Drosophila melanogaster: one gene and its partner. The protein of the gene in region 1 interacts with the protein of each later gene in a pairwise test. Each region holds a gene or a part of one and is shown on either strand. Other genes may lie near its edges.

What was found.
Region 2: the proteins of CG31886 (region 1) and CG3702 interact in a two-hybrid assay, tested with the Drosophila melanogaster proteins (one large-scale study listed by BioGRID).

Annotation. Positions count from the first base shown.
Region 1 is NT_033779.5:8,952,716-8,961,024, reverse strand, and holds CG31886 (uncharacterized protein), read left to right. Parts: upstream 1-1,973; 5' UTR 1,974-2,047; coding exon 2,048-2,147; intron 2,148-2,911; exon of another isoform or gene 2,912-3,507; intron 3,508-5,217; exon of another isoform or gene 5,218-5,312; coding exon of another isoform or gene 5,313-5,343; intron 5,344-5,438; coding exon 5,439-7,003; 3' UTR 7,004-7,544; downstream 7,545-8,309. Other genes in the region: CG9525 (uncharacterized protein), read left to right, coding at 1-707.
Region 2 is NT_033779.5:4,224,150-4,228,735, forward strand, and holds CG3702 (uncharacterized protein), read right to left. Parts: upstream 2,949-4,586; 5' UTR 2,740-2,948; coding exon 2,698-2,739; intron 2,619-2,697; coding exon 735-2,618; 3' UTR 501-734; downstream 1-500. Other genes in the region: RpL40 (ribosomal protein L40), read left to right, coding at 3,876-4,262.

The DNA of each region.
Region 1 (8,309 bases):
GGATCAATAGTAAACGTTTGACTTCACCATACGATCTTCATCTTACACTGCAACACCTCTTGGAACTGGGAGAACGTTGGCCTCGAGCGGTGGACAAGCTGGTGGATTGCCCCACTTGTCAAACCCTTTTTGCTCCTGTTCCCGAAAATCGAACCTGTTCAGATGCTGGCATAGGAGAATCCCAATGTCCATGTGATAGCTACAAGCTGCTTAGCTCCAATCAGATGAAACAATTGTCTGTGGGAAAGCAAATTGTGCGCAGTATAAATGAATTCCTTAACCATCACAACTTGCATGAGTTGTGCCATAATCTTACACTGAAATCAGTCAAAATGGTGTTGCAACGAAAGGATAGAAAATTATCTAGTGGCAGCACCTATAGAGCATATTTCAGTGCCAACCCAAATAATGCAGAATTTTCCACAACTATCCGCTACGCTAATAATCGCCAAGAACTGGAATATATAAATGTGGAGTCCATAAACCGATTGAATAACTATCAAAATGACTCGAGTTGCATGCGAAGATTGCGAGGCAGAAAGTTTTGTATATGCAAGAGCCAAATACTAGAAAATCACAGCACTTCAGAGGTCACAAAATTAATACCGAATAAAAATAAAATAGATGATAAATTATATGAATTACCAGACATGCGAGAAAACGACCAAAACATTGAAACATTGAACATTGAAGTTATTTCGGTGTAACTAATGATAAATTTAGTTATCTAACTATATACTTTTGGGTTATAATCCAAGTGATTTGAACAATATAAGCTTAAAGCACTAGGTGCCATCCATATATCAACATTATTAAAACCAGGGTTATCTCAATTTTACCTTCTCAGGTAAACCTTGCTAAAAGCAATCACAGATAGTGACACAATCAGACCCATAAGTTACTGAGTTATCCATTTTACCATTATCCGGACAGCTCCCAGTCACTCTTGTTCTCGACTGGAATGGGACAATTTCATTGTTTAAAAATTTAATTGTTATCTACTTCAGCGTGCATACGTATGTACAAGCCAATGCACAATATTCACAATATGTTTCTACTTTGACTTATATACAATACATTGACCTATAAAATGAGAATAATTTCTTAAATCTACAACCAATGTAACACCTAGAAGCAAATAATGTCAAACCCATATTGAATTCAGCCTGCATTTACGTTGCAAAACTTTCCACCCTTACAATAAAATAATTGACAGTAGATAAGATTAACAGTGCTGTAAATCCCTAATTTATTTGATATCTAGAACTCTCAAGTCGCTTATACTAAGCGGGATGCGTCAAGAAATAATTTTATCTTTGTTTGCATGTAGGTGAAAAATGACAGGTGTCACACAACACTGAAGAACTTTGTCGTCGGACCCCGGAAAATAAATCTTATATCTTATATCTTTATACAATGCTATTAGCTATGCCATTAGTTTGCAAAGCGGAAATGAAAGCACTTATCTAATTCTTGGGACTGCGGAAGTTGTGTTGGGTCCCATATTATATATCCAATCAATATGTCGAATCGTCAGATAAATTGATACTTGTGCCCAGGTTGAAAGCCAGAACTTCTGCCTCATGATTGGCCGCTTATCATTTGAAAGGCTATGTTTTGTCTACTTATTAACATTGTTTACTAATTCATTATGATAATGGGCCGTCGGCGACTATCAGTATCAGTTCAGATGAGGACAGGCACTCCCGAGGCACAGTGGCGTAATTTAAAGTTTTCACTATTATATTTATATAAATTATATTGCAGTTTATTAGGACCTAAAATCAATAAACTATAAAGTATTTATAAAATTGTTTCTTTTTTTTAGATACCTTTTATTGAATTCGATTTTCGCAATGTTTTTTTTGATTTAATGAACCAGTGTGCGACGACTGTTTGCACTAAGCGTCATCGTTATCCCAAACAGTTGGCTCTGTCCCGATTTGGATTATATTCATTTCATTAGTTCGCTGCGATAATTCGCAGCCGTCGGTTCAGCTCTGTCTTCATTTTCACTCCTTTAAAGAAATTTAATTAAATATCCAGCATGTCCAACAAAAAGATGTTCAACAGGACTACGTCAGTAAGTCCTGGACAGTTGCATTATTATCACACGGATTTCTATTACTCAATGCCGGATTTGCATAGTAAGTATTGGGGGGAATTAGATGCAAGTTGTCCTTTTATAAGTTAAGGACATTTTGGAGCTACCATATATATGGTTAACTTATACGAAAATCTAAAAAAAAAAAAATGAAAGTGAAGCTTTAAAAAAATGTAAACTCCAAAAATGTATTTATTAAATAGGCTGAAGCCACCAAATATAAGTCATCAGAAGTTTTTATTTCTCCTATTTTTTTATTTTAAAATACATATATTAATTCCAATAATTTTTCCTTAAACTTAAATTAATTATATGTAACACATGTTTTATTTTTTTTTCAAATACTAAACAAATAAATGAAATTATTAAATAAATATAATAAATTCCTAATCCTCCCTACTTTATTTTTCTCAATTTAAGATTTATGTTCGTCACAATCATAAATTCCCGCCTTCAAGTTAGCCGAGTTGCAAACCTACTTTTTCAGCGCAGCCAACTTCACTTCACATGAGTTTCCCTAGTAGTATTTTTCTCGTTCTCTTAAGAGAGAGCAACCACTCAAACAAATCTTAATTATATTTCACTATAAGTCGTAACATTTCTTCTTAAAATAAGAAGAATAAAACCGATATTTAATTTGAATGAAAACCAGAATAACAAAATCATTCTAAACTCACAATTTTTAATAAACTTAGCAAATATATTTTTTATACGAAGTTGAATTTTTTACAGTGCACGCTTAAAACAAAGAGCACAGAGAGCGTCTACAGTTGTTTGGGGTTAAAATTTCCACTCAGTCAGTTTCCCGTCTCATTTCTTGGATTGCTTTGTAGTGAACTGAATCGTTTTGTTGGTTCCTCTGTCGTCCAGTCTTGTGAAAATTTCGTGATAATAATGCCTGGATAAATATTTAAGCATTTGGAAAACGGGGGAAAAAGGTCTAAGTTGTGTGAAGGAGACAATTGAAGTGACCCTTTATTTATAAACATTCCACGACGTGTTTCGAAAACAAACAAAGATATGCGGAAACAAAGTGTTAATAAAAGAGTGAAAAATAGAGAGAGTGTCGCGATAAGCGGTTGAGCGAGATAGAGAAAATTGTTGATTAAAATGTGTGTCAAAATAAAACATCAAACCGCTTGAACGAACAGTCAGTTAGTTGCTTCTGATAATAACCATGGGAAGCGGCACGTGTGCTTCGCTCCTCGGACTTATAAAATATTTAAACGTATGCATTCTTCTAATTTCGGATATATGCTCACCTGAGCGACTTTGTTAAACCGCAAATAGCAATGCAAACAAAGGAATAGAAACTGAAATCGACAACTACATGTGAAATTCACAAATCAAATCGCAATTGTCATCCCAAAGATATAGAACAAACTATAGGGAAGATACAGAATGTAAGTGCCAAACTAAAATAAACAAACAAGAATAACATTTCCACAGGTGTTTTGCATTTCAAATGCATATTTCCGTGGCGGCTACAAATCTTTTTCAAAACCGGAAAAAAACCGGCTACGGTTATTTCAAGGATTTTCGCACTACACTGAAGACAAATGGTTGTGCTAAGAAAGAAACACACTGTGAATAGAAATCTTGGTTAAAAATAAAACTACAAAAGAAGCAAGTTAAAACACTCGGTAAAACAAAATGTACATTGTTTAGTTAAATCATCTTGACACCTCAGCAAAACAATATATAAAGCATAATAAAATTCCAATAATTCACGACCTATGCCATTTTTTGAGGCCACATATGTGTGTCGTTGTCATGGGAAAGACCCGGGAAAACCTGACAAAGGAAAATTGAAACCGGCAATAGTATGCAGAAATAGAATGAATGAGTAACATTTAACTTAGTAATATGTCTTATTGCATTGGTTAATACAAGTCTGTTCATAGTATCGCTGATAACAATATTCTTTTGAAAGTAGGGCACCAAAAGTATATAAAATCATGGCACTAACACTCGTAATTTATTTATTGAGCTGTTATCAGTGAATGTAAAAAATTAGTTTTAAATAATTTCTGGCAACTGTTTGGTTACTAGAGAATAACATTATTTAAAATTGATTCAATATTTCTGTGTGCTATCTTAATGTAGCATTTAATGTTGTGTAATATATGATTTTCTTAGATTTGCAAATTAAGGTGGTATAGTTTTCGAATTTCGCAGGCTTTTTATTTGTTCTTTATTCTCTCCCAGAGTCTGTGAATAACAGCAAATCGTTGATAAGCTGTTTATGATACTGTTTTTATCTCGACGCACATTTCAGTCGGGTTAAAAAAGCACTCGACAAAAACGTGACAAAGAAGCACAACTCGTGTATGCCATAAATTCTATATTTATGTCACATAAGTATGGCATACATGAATTTATTTATTTATTTCTGATCACAACGCGTTGACGTCGATAAGACTAATATTAAGATCATTTTATAAGGGAAAAAACAGGGCTTATCTCTGTTGGCATCATTAGGCGGGCGGTAATTAGGTAAGGCCCTGATAAGGTACCAAAAACTATGCGTAATCATTTGAGATTGCTGAGTAATTAAAACTATTATACATAAGGTACTTGTCAGAACTAAGTTAACAGACGATGAAATATTAATAACTGTGGTAAACTGTGTTTTATTTAAAAATGCAAGTTATATATATTAGAATTATATAAATTATTTGTATTCTTAATCAGATCTACAAAAAAGGATACCAAAATAAGCAGATAATTTTTAAGATTTTTATTTTTACTTCAAAATAAATCTACGAATTTGCCACCCTAGAAAAAGAGACCGCTCCTGGTCTAAATTTTTGCTTGTTAACCACGATAAGCAAATCTTTTTCCGCAAAGCCCAGTAATTGAAGGGAATGATCCAGAGTCGCTGGTCGCTAAATATCGATCAAACATCGGCTGTCACTTGGTTGGCCATCGATCTGAGTCTGCCAATTGAATCTTGTGAATAGCTTAGTTATACACTCGGCCAATATCAACAATCGTGTTGGATTGTTGATACAATCTCGCCTCTCACAAATACTCCGTTGAACTTATAAGATCGCAAGGAGGGGGAGGCGTGAATACATGCCGCTTCCATTCGCTCAGACTAATTTGATAATCGCGCAATCAGACAGTGTACAACAAACCTGGCTGGCAATCAGACGTTGTCGCAGAAAAACTATTTCACAGTCACAGCGAATTTAAAGCCGTCAGGATGCAGCCGTTAACGGAATATCACTTTGAAGGTGCTCCGTCAGGCCATTAAACAAATTTTATATAAAAAGAAAAAACTTTTATCTCCAGATAGTAATCTATATCTGTTTTCCATTTCTATTTGCAGAAACCCGCAAAATGCACGGCGTGAAAAGGGTGCTGGTTTTCTGCCTGATGATTGTGATACTGCCGGCCATTCTTATCATTATGCCGCTGCATTTGCGAAAGACGGTGTTTGCCGACGTCATCTATCCCATGGCGGAGTCCGATATCATTGAGATTCGGGCAGGAATCTCGTCGATCTTTTGCTCGAAACACACACTGCGTATGAACTCCAATTTCAACGCTTTTCAACTACGTAATAAGCCGGAAATTGCGACGAATCGCAAGCACATTAGGCTGAAGAAGTCGATGACATTGCCGGATGATACGCTTGAATACTGGGGCTTCTTCTTGCTGAAAGGTGCCAAGGTGCGAGTGAAATTCTGCTCCCGCTACGATGGATCCCGCATCCTGATCATCCATGGTCACAGGGAGCTTAATCTTTGCGGTCTGACCGATCACAATAAGAATAAGTTGGGCGCCAATTATGCCAAAGGTCACGAACAGGTGCAGGTGTTCTTCGAAGACAATGTGGAGATCACGGAAGAGAAGGGCAACCAGGATGTGCTAATGGAGCACGAGAACCACGGCGGAGAGGATTTGACTGAGGATATTCCACAGCCGCAGGTGAACATACCTGTCAAGCAAAACAATTCTATACAGCCTAAGTTAATTAGGAAAAAACTGAAAAAGGGCACAATTCATCATGGCGAACATGATATGCATGCTATAACAGATTTGCAAGGATCACACCATACGGAACACATATTGAATCACCATGATCACAGCTCTAATTCTCCAGCACATCATCACAATAGTACTGCCCATCATCGGGAGCACAGTTCGAATATCACAAACGAAGAAACTAGTCGTAATCACATACGAAATGAAGATGAAGATCCAGATCAGAATTCAAGTAAGACCCATTATAGTGCGGAAAGTCCGCCTCACCGGGAACGTCTCAAAAGACACAATAGGGTAGCCCATAGGAATCAGAAGAGACAGGATCTTTACGATACGCTTTATAAAAGATCAAAGAGGGAGAATGTCTACGATAGAAAGACGATCCATGGAGGAAATGCTATAAATTTTACGGAAACGGACGAGTCGAATTCGGTGTCCAGCTTTGAGACAGGACTATTTCAGTGTTTCAATGGAATGATCCTGCTGCAGGAGTTCTTCAGGCCAAAAAATGAATGCTCAAATCCGCACATAATGGACACTTCGCCCAACAAGAGTTCCATGGTGGTGCACAACGTCATCGAGGATGGGTACTACTATTATATATTCTACAGCGACAATGATCACGTTCAAAACGAGATCCACGCCATATTCGATATTTACAAGCCGACGTATCAGTACTCAAACATGAGCGAGTCACAAAGCTGTCTGAATACCACAAATTGCACATTCAACATCAGTTTCCTTTCGGATGAGATTGTGGTGGTGGAGGTTCCAACACGGGATGGTATCGAGCACGAGGAGGACGATATAACCAATCTGATCTCCACCTGTCATCCGCGCAGCGAGATATACGCCATCTTTCCCATTACGGTGCTGGTGCTGATCCTTTGCTGCTCCTTCCTGTAGTCCTCCTGATCCAATATTATTAATATACTATTGTGATATTTATGGTGAGGTAACTACCGGGTGATATACTCGCTTGTGAGTGTGTTAACGTTATGGCCGGCCCCAAAACGAGAGCTTTTAAAATAGCCATAGAATATTCCATATCGGTTATACACACACGGAATGAACAGTCTGAACAAATCGTTATCAATATTCGTAGATTTTATGCTAGACTAGAATGTAGCCTAAGACGCAAGCATTTTTTGGTCTACAAATGAAAATGGGAAAATAGTAAGATAAAATATGTAAATTGTATATCGTGTACAAATAAATGTAGATACCAAGTAATTTTAAGATGAAATTGTAGTACTTATCAATTAATTCAATTATTCTCATTTTATAAACGACTTTGATCTTTTTGTTTACCTGAACACATTTTAAAGACAATTCTTATGTAGTCATTTGAAGAGGATTAGTTTTAATGCTTTTGTTGACTTTGTATAAGTGATTTGAATTTTAAGGAAATTTTCATTAGTTTTTTAATAAAAATAAAATTGATTGTAATCAAGCGTTGTAATTTTTCATTTTATACTCAATGTCTACATTTTAACGTTGCCGCAAAATATTTTCCACTGGCTTCAGTTTTAGGAGAGAAAAAAAATTTTGTTGATTCTAGTTATTTTAGATTAATTTGCACACCACTCAAAGCTAATTTGCCGATCATTTGTGTGAGTCTTTTCCTAATTTGGCCACGGGAGTAATGCAAATATTTACATAAAATTCATGTACACATACATGCCTGGAAGAAATGAAATAACATTTTCATTAAAAATGAATAAATTTACTGTCTAGTCTTTTAGTTCATACACTCAATTGAGCAGCGTAAACAAAGTGCCTTGGATTATCCGATTAACATAGTTGCATTAGATTAAGTTATAAAAGAAAATAATAAAATAGTAAAAACAGTATTCAGTAAAAAAAAAATTATTTTTAAAGAAGGGAAAAAAAATGAAAAAAAAACATCATTCAAATTTAGCAGATCGTTGGGAACGTCAGCAAATGAAAGCTGATTGCTACGAATCTAATGTTGATCTACACTGTATATACTTGTGGTTGTGTAGATAATGTGTAAGATTACAGTAAAAAAAATAAAGTCAGTCAGCGATTTTTATACCCGTTACTCGTAGCTTAAGAGGGTATTCTCGACTTGTTGAAAAGGGTGTAACGGATCTTGACACGCGGCATTTTTATTTCGAAACATCACGCCGACACTTTTAAAACATTTTTTTTGAGTAACGGGTATCTGGTAGTCACGAAACTCGACTGT
Region 2 (4,586 bases), 4.7 Mb from region 1:
TCAAAAATTCCTCATGTAAAAAAGATTTTTCTTGGATTTAGTGCTTTCTAAATATTAGGTTTGTAACGAATTATTTTTGAGTTCAGTTCAAATTTGGCGCGCTCCATTTTCAGTGCTGTAAATTGCCAATGGGTAGTGCTGTATAATGTGAAAACTTATATGTACCCGCTTTGCGTACCTGTACCTAAATTCAATTGTATTTAATTATTTTAGAAAATTATGAGTGAAGTTCATTTGACAAGAAAAAACCATCAATGGGACTCAAGTTGCTTTAGAAAATATAAATTAAAAAATCGATTGATAAACCGATATATAAGTTAATTTAGTTGCCACTATCCATTGATTTAGAAACCTTGTATCTTTCCAAAATGAGGTGATAATTATCTGGGCCATCTGGCCAGTATATATGTACATATTTTCAAGCGCCCTGATAAGCAAGCTTATCTACCCATTTGTCTAGCCCACTCAGCGGGCTGCAGATTAGATAATAGCAGTGGCATATGGATCATCTCACGCTTAATTTATTAGATCTTCCAACGCTGCGAGAAGCGCGGAGGGCAGGGGAAAACAAAAACACAAACATACGTACATACAATTAGCCCTAAGAATGATTCTATCGGGATTACTTGACTATGTATACTGGATAGTGATTACATACATATTGGGGGAGTGGAGTATATGGTATTGCGTCTTCTAATGCTAATGCATACTGTGGTCACAGCTCTGCACTCCTTCTAATCCTGCTTCTTTTGTGCAGCTGTCTTTTTGATCGCTGGCGCAGCCTGGGGACCTTCGATGGCTCCATTGGCTGTCTTGCCCTCCAGCTTCTGGGCGGCATGCTGCTGCTCCATCTCCCCGGAGAAGCCGAACTCATTCACGCGCTTCAAATCGACGCGATACTGCCAGCGCTGGTAGAGGAACACAAAGAAGATGATGTCGTCGCGGAAGCAACCCAACCGGTACATTGTGGGCATTTTGATCACAAACGCAAAGATGTCATCGATAAAGGTGTTGAGGAACTTGTAGGTCATCATGCGCCACGGCATGTGGGCCACCGACTTTAGCTTGTAGTTGATGAATAGCTGCGGCGTCATCAGGATGAAGCCAAAGGTCAGCAGATAGCCGTACAGCATGTTGAGCACAAATGAGTACCAGCCCTTGTGCTCGTTGTAGATCAACGAGTAGACAAAGTAGGCCACCAGGAGCGGGAAGCATGCCCAGCCCAGGTACTTGAAGGCCAGTTTGTCATAGTCTTTGGTCGAGCTCTCCGAATAGGAGCCCTTGTCCTGGAAACTGATTCTCGGCAGCACTCCCAGAATCTTTTGATCGTGATCGTAGTTGATATCCACGACCTTGTGAATCTTCCACACCTCGATTCCCAGTCCCACGAAACAGGAGATGCGAATCATGAAGTTGGTCTCGTTGTCCAGCACGTACAGCAGGATGATTAGTGACTGGAAGACACCGAAGAACACCGATCGTACAGACAGTCCTTCGAGCGACTTGCGATTGTTCCAGAACTGAATGTCGTTCTTGAAGGCCAGCAGTTCGAACACCGAATGCAGTATGGAAACGGCCACTGTGATGCCCAGCAGGTAGATATTGGTGTCCAGCAGAGTCTCCTTCAGCGAGTCCTGATCCTCGTCACTCTCCTCCGGCTGGCTGGCGGCCATCAGCTCACCGAGCATATTGCCAGCCCACTTGTTCTTCATCTGTTTGGCGGCATACAGCTGCCACTTGAACATGCCCAGCGGCTGGAAAGTGAGGTGCAGCTCCAGTTCGGGAGTGGTCTCATTAATGGGTTGATACTCCCGCTGAAGATTCCAGTAGTCGTTGACGAACAGGATGGGCAGATAGGTCTTACCGCCGTCTACGAACTTTACGTAGTCATCCAGTGGCGGCGGCACAGATCCCTCGGCCCAGTTAGTTTGGTCCACTACGAGATTGACCGTGAGATTAGGATGCCAGTGAGACACGATGGTATCCTTGAGATTCGCATGCTTGAGCTCGTGCTCCAACTTCTCCTTCTCGCTGGCCAGCAAGTTGTAGTTGCGGTTCACACGCAACTTCTTGAACTTGTTCAGCTGATGTTGCTGGTGGCCCATTTTGGTGGCGTAATTCGGGGCTTTGGGATCGGGACTCATGCCGGTACGCGTGACAAAGGCATGTAGGTACACACTGCCATTGTTCATCAGATGCTGGCTGGTCTTAAGCTTCAAACTGTGCGTGTAAATGCCATCTCCGTTGACGCCCGACGTCCAATCGCCATAGGTGAGGTCCTTCTGTAGCCAGAGGAGATTCGCCTTTTGCTGGAAGTTAACCACATCGGGATTCTCCGACAACCACACGTGCAGGTCAAAGTCCGTGCCGTTCTCGAAGTAATTCCAGGCCGTGATCTTGGGACCCGCATTAGCGACACTTTTGCCTTGACTGGCGGCATCGGGCGCAGGTCGTCGGAAAAAGGAGCTCACAAAGTAGATGATCAGGGCACGCAGGATGAGGGACTTGGTCATCGCAAAGAAGGACTCCATGCGGGTGGGCTGATTCGGCGGGGGTTGTTGTTGCTCATTCTGGCCTTCATTTTGGGCCAGCTCAGCGTTACCATTGCCCGCAATCACCTAGAAAAAACGATGAGAACCAGGTCGCTATTGTCAGGTGATTGGGGTTGAGAAAGGTTTAAGTTTCTCAGATACTTACCGCACCCTCTGCTGCGGGCTGATCTTCGCCTGCTTTCGACATGCTCTGTTCTCAAGGGTTTTCCACGCTTTTCCCTTAGTTTCCCGTTTTCCGCACAACTTGTGCTACTGTCATCGATAGGTAAGTGTTGAGGACCTATCGAGCCATTAGAACTTCGATATCGAAAGGGGTATTTTTCAGAATCTATCGATTTGACGCAGAATGGAAAAGCACGGTGTTCTCACTATAAAGACATACTTTTTTCACTAAGTCAAATACAAATTTATTTATTATATGTGACATATTTAGCAATACACATTTTTAGAATATCGTTGGCTTAAATGTATATCCCTTACTTACTTATACTTACTTACTTACTTATACTTATACAACCTAGTATTCAATTATTGTTCTTAGTAAAATGGACAGCAACTTGAATATTTTTGTATAAATTCAAAAGGTTTAATATCTGAAAAAATATTTCATAAATTCATTAAAAATATAATTTAAATCGATTAGGCGGTTTTTCAATAAAAAAAAATATGCGTAATATGTAATATTTGAACCTTATCTAAAATATAATTCTATATACAAGTTTTGATTTCAATTTATTTGTATACAATGCAAATAGCATTTTCATGCCATAATAATATAATTTTGAATTAGCTTAGCTATCAGTGAGGTAGCGTTGGGCTATAAAAAAACACGAAAAACTATATGTTGATATTGTAAAGTTGGTCTCGGTTCAAATGGTAAAGATATTTTGCATTAATTAATTTGAGTGTCTGAATATTTTTTACAGTTCCATTTAGAATGTTTTGGTATTTAAAAAATAGTATTTTGGTATATTTGCAGTGCTCGGCGGCGGCCACACTCTCTTTTCCCTTTTTCTTTTGAATAGCATTTGGTTGCACGTTTCCTCTGGTGAGTTTCCATTAAATATATTAAAAATAAACGAAAAATCGCAATAACGTGGCAGAATGTAAACATATTGTTGTTTAGTGACGTATTTGTGATATGAAAAAGATGGACACTGGTGCTTGTCGACCGGTGGAGCTGTTTCTGTCGAACGAAACATGCCAGCAAGTCGGACCTAACCTCCAATCTTTGCCCGCTCTTTGGGACGCACAAGTTCGCTAAGAAATCGTACGATTTGGTACTGATTTATGTTTTATATTGCTTTCAGTGACGCCGCCATTATGCAGATCTTCGTGAAAACCCTCACCGGCAAGACCATCACCTTGGAGGTGGAGCCTTCTGACACCATCGAGAATGTCAAGGCTAAGATCCAGGATAAGGAGGGCATTCCCCCAGATCAGCAGCGTCTGATCTTCGCCGGCAAGCAGCTGGAGGATGGCCGCACTCTGTCCGACTACAACATTCAGAAGGAGTCCACCCTGCACTTGGTGCTCCGCCTGCGTGGTGGTATCATTGAGCCCTCGCTCAGGATTCTGGCCCAGAAGTACAACTGCGACAAGATGATCTGCCGCAAGTGCTACGCCCGTCTGCATCCTCGTGCCACCAACTGCCGCAAGAAGAAGTGCGGACACACCAACAACCTGCGCCCCAAGAAGAAGTTGAAGTAGACTATGATCATCCGTCGACGGTCCAGGCTGGTCTTTCTATCGACAAAACCATGGTTAACCATCTAAGTAAATATATGTACATTTTGTGAAACCACATCTAATCGAAATGTATTGCATTTGCTGCCAAGGCACAGCCTATTTACACCGTGTATGTTTCTGTTTTCCTGTCATCTGTTTTCGTTTGTGGTCTCCGAAGAACGAGTTTCTGCGGTTTTAGGAAGCTCTTATACTGCAATTAGTTGGCCTCTCCGAGATCTCAGTTAGTTTTTCTGCTCTGTTTCTGGTTCTGTCTCGCCACCAGGAAGCGGGCGACAGCAGCAGGTA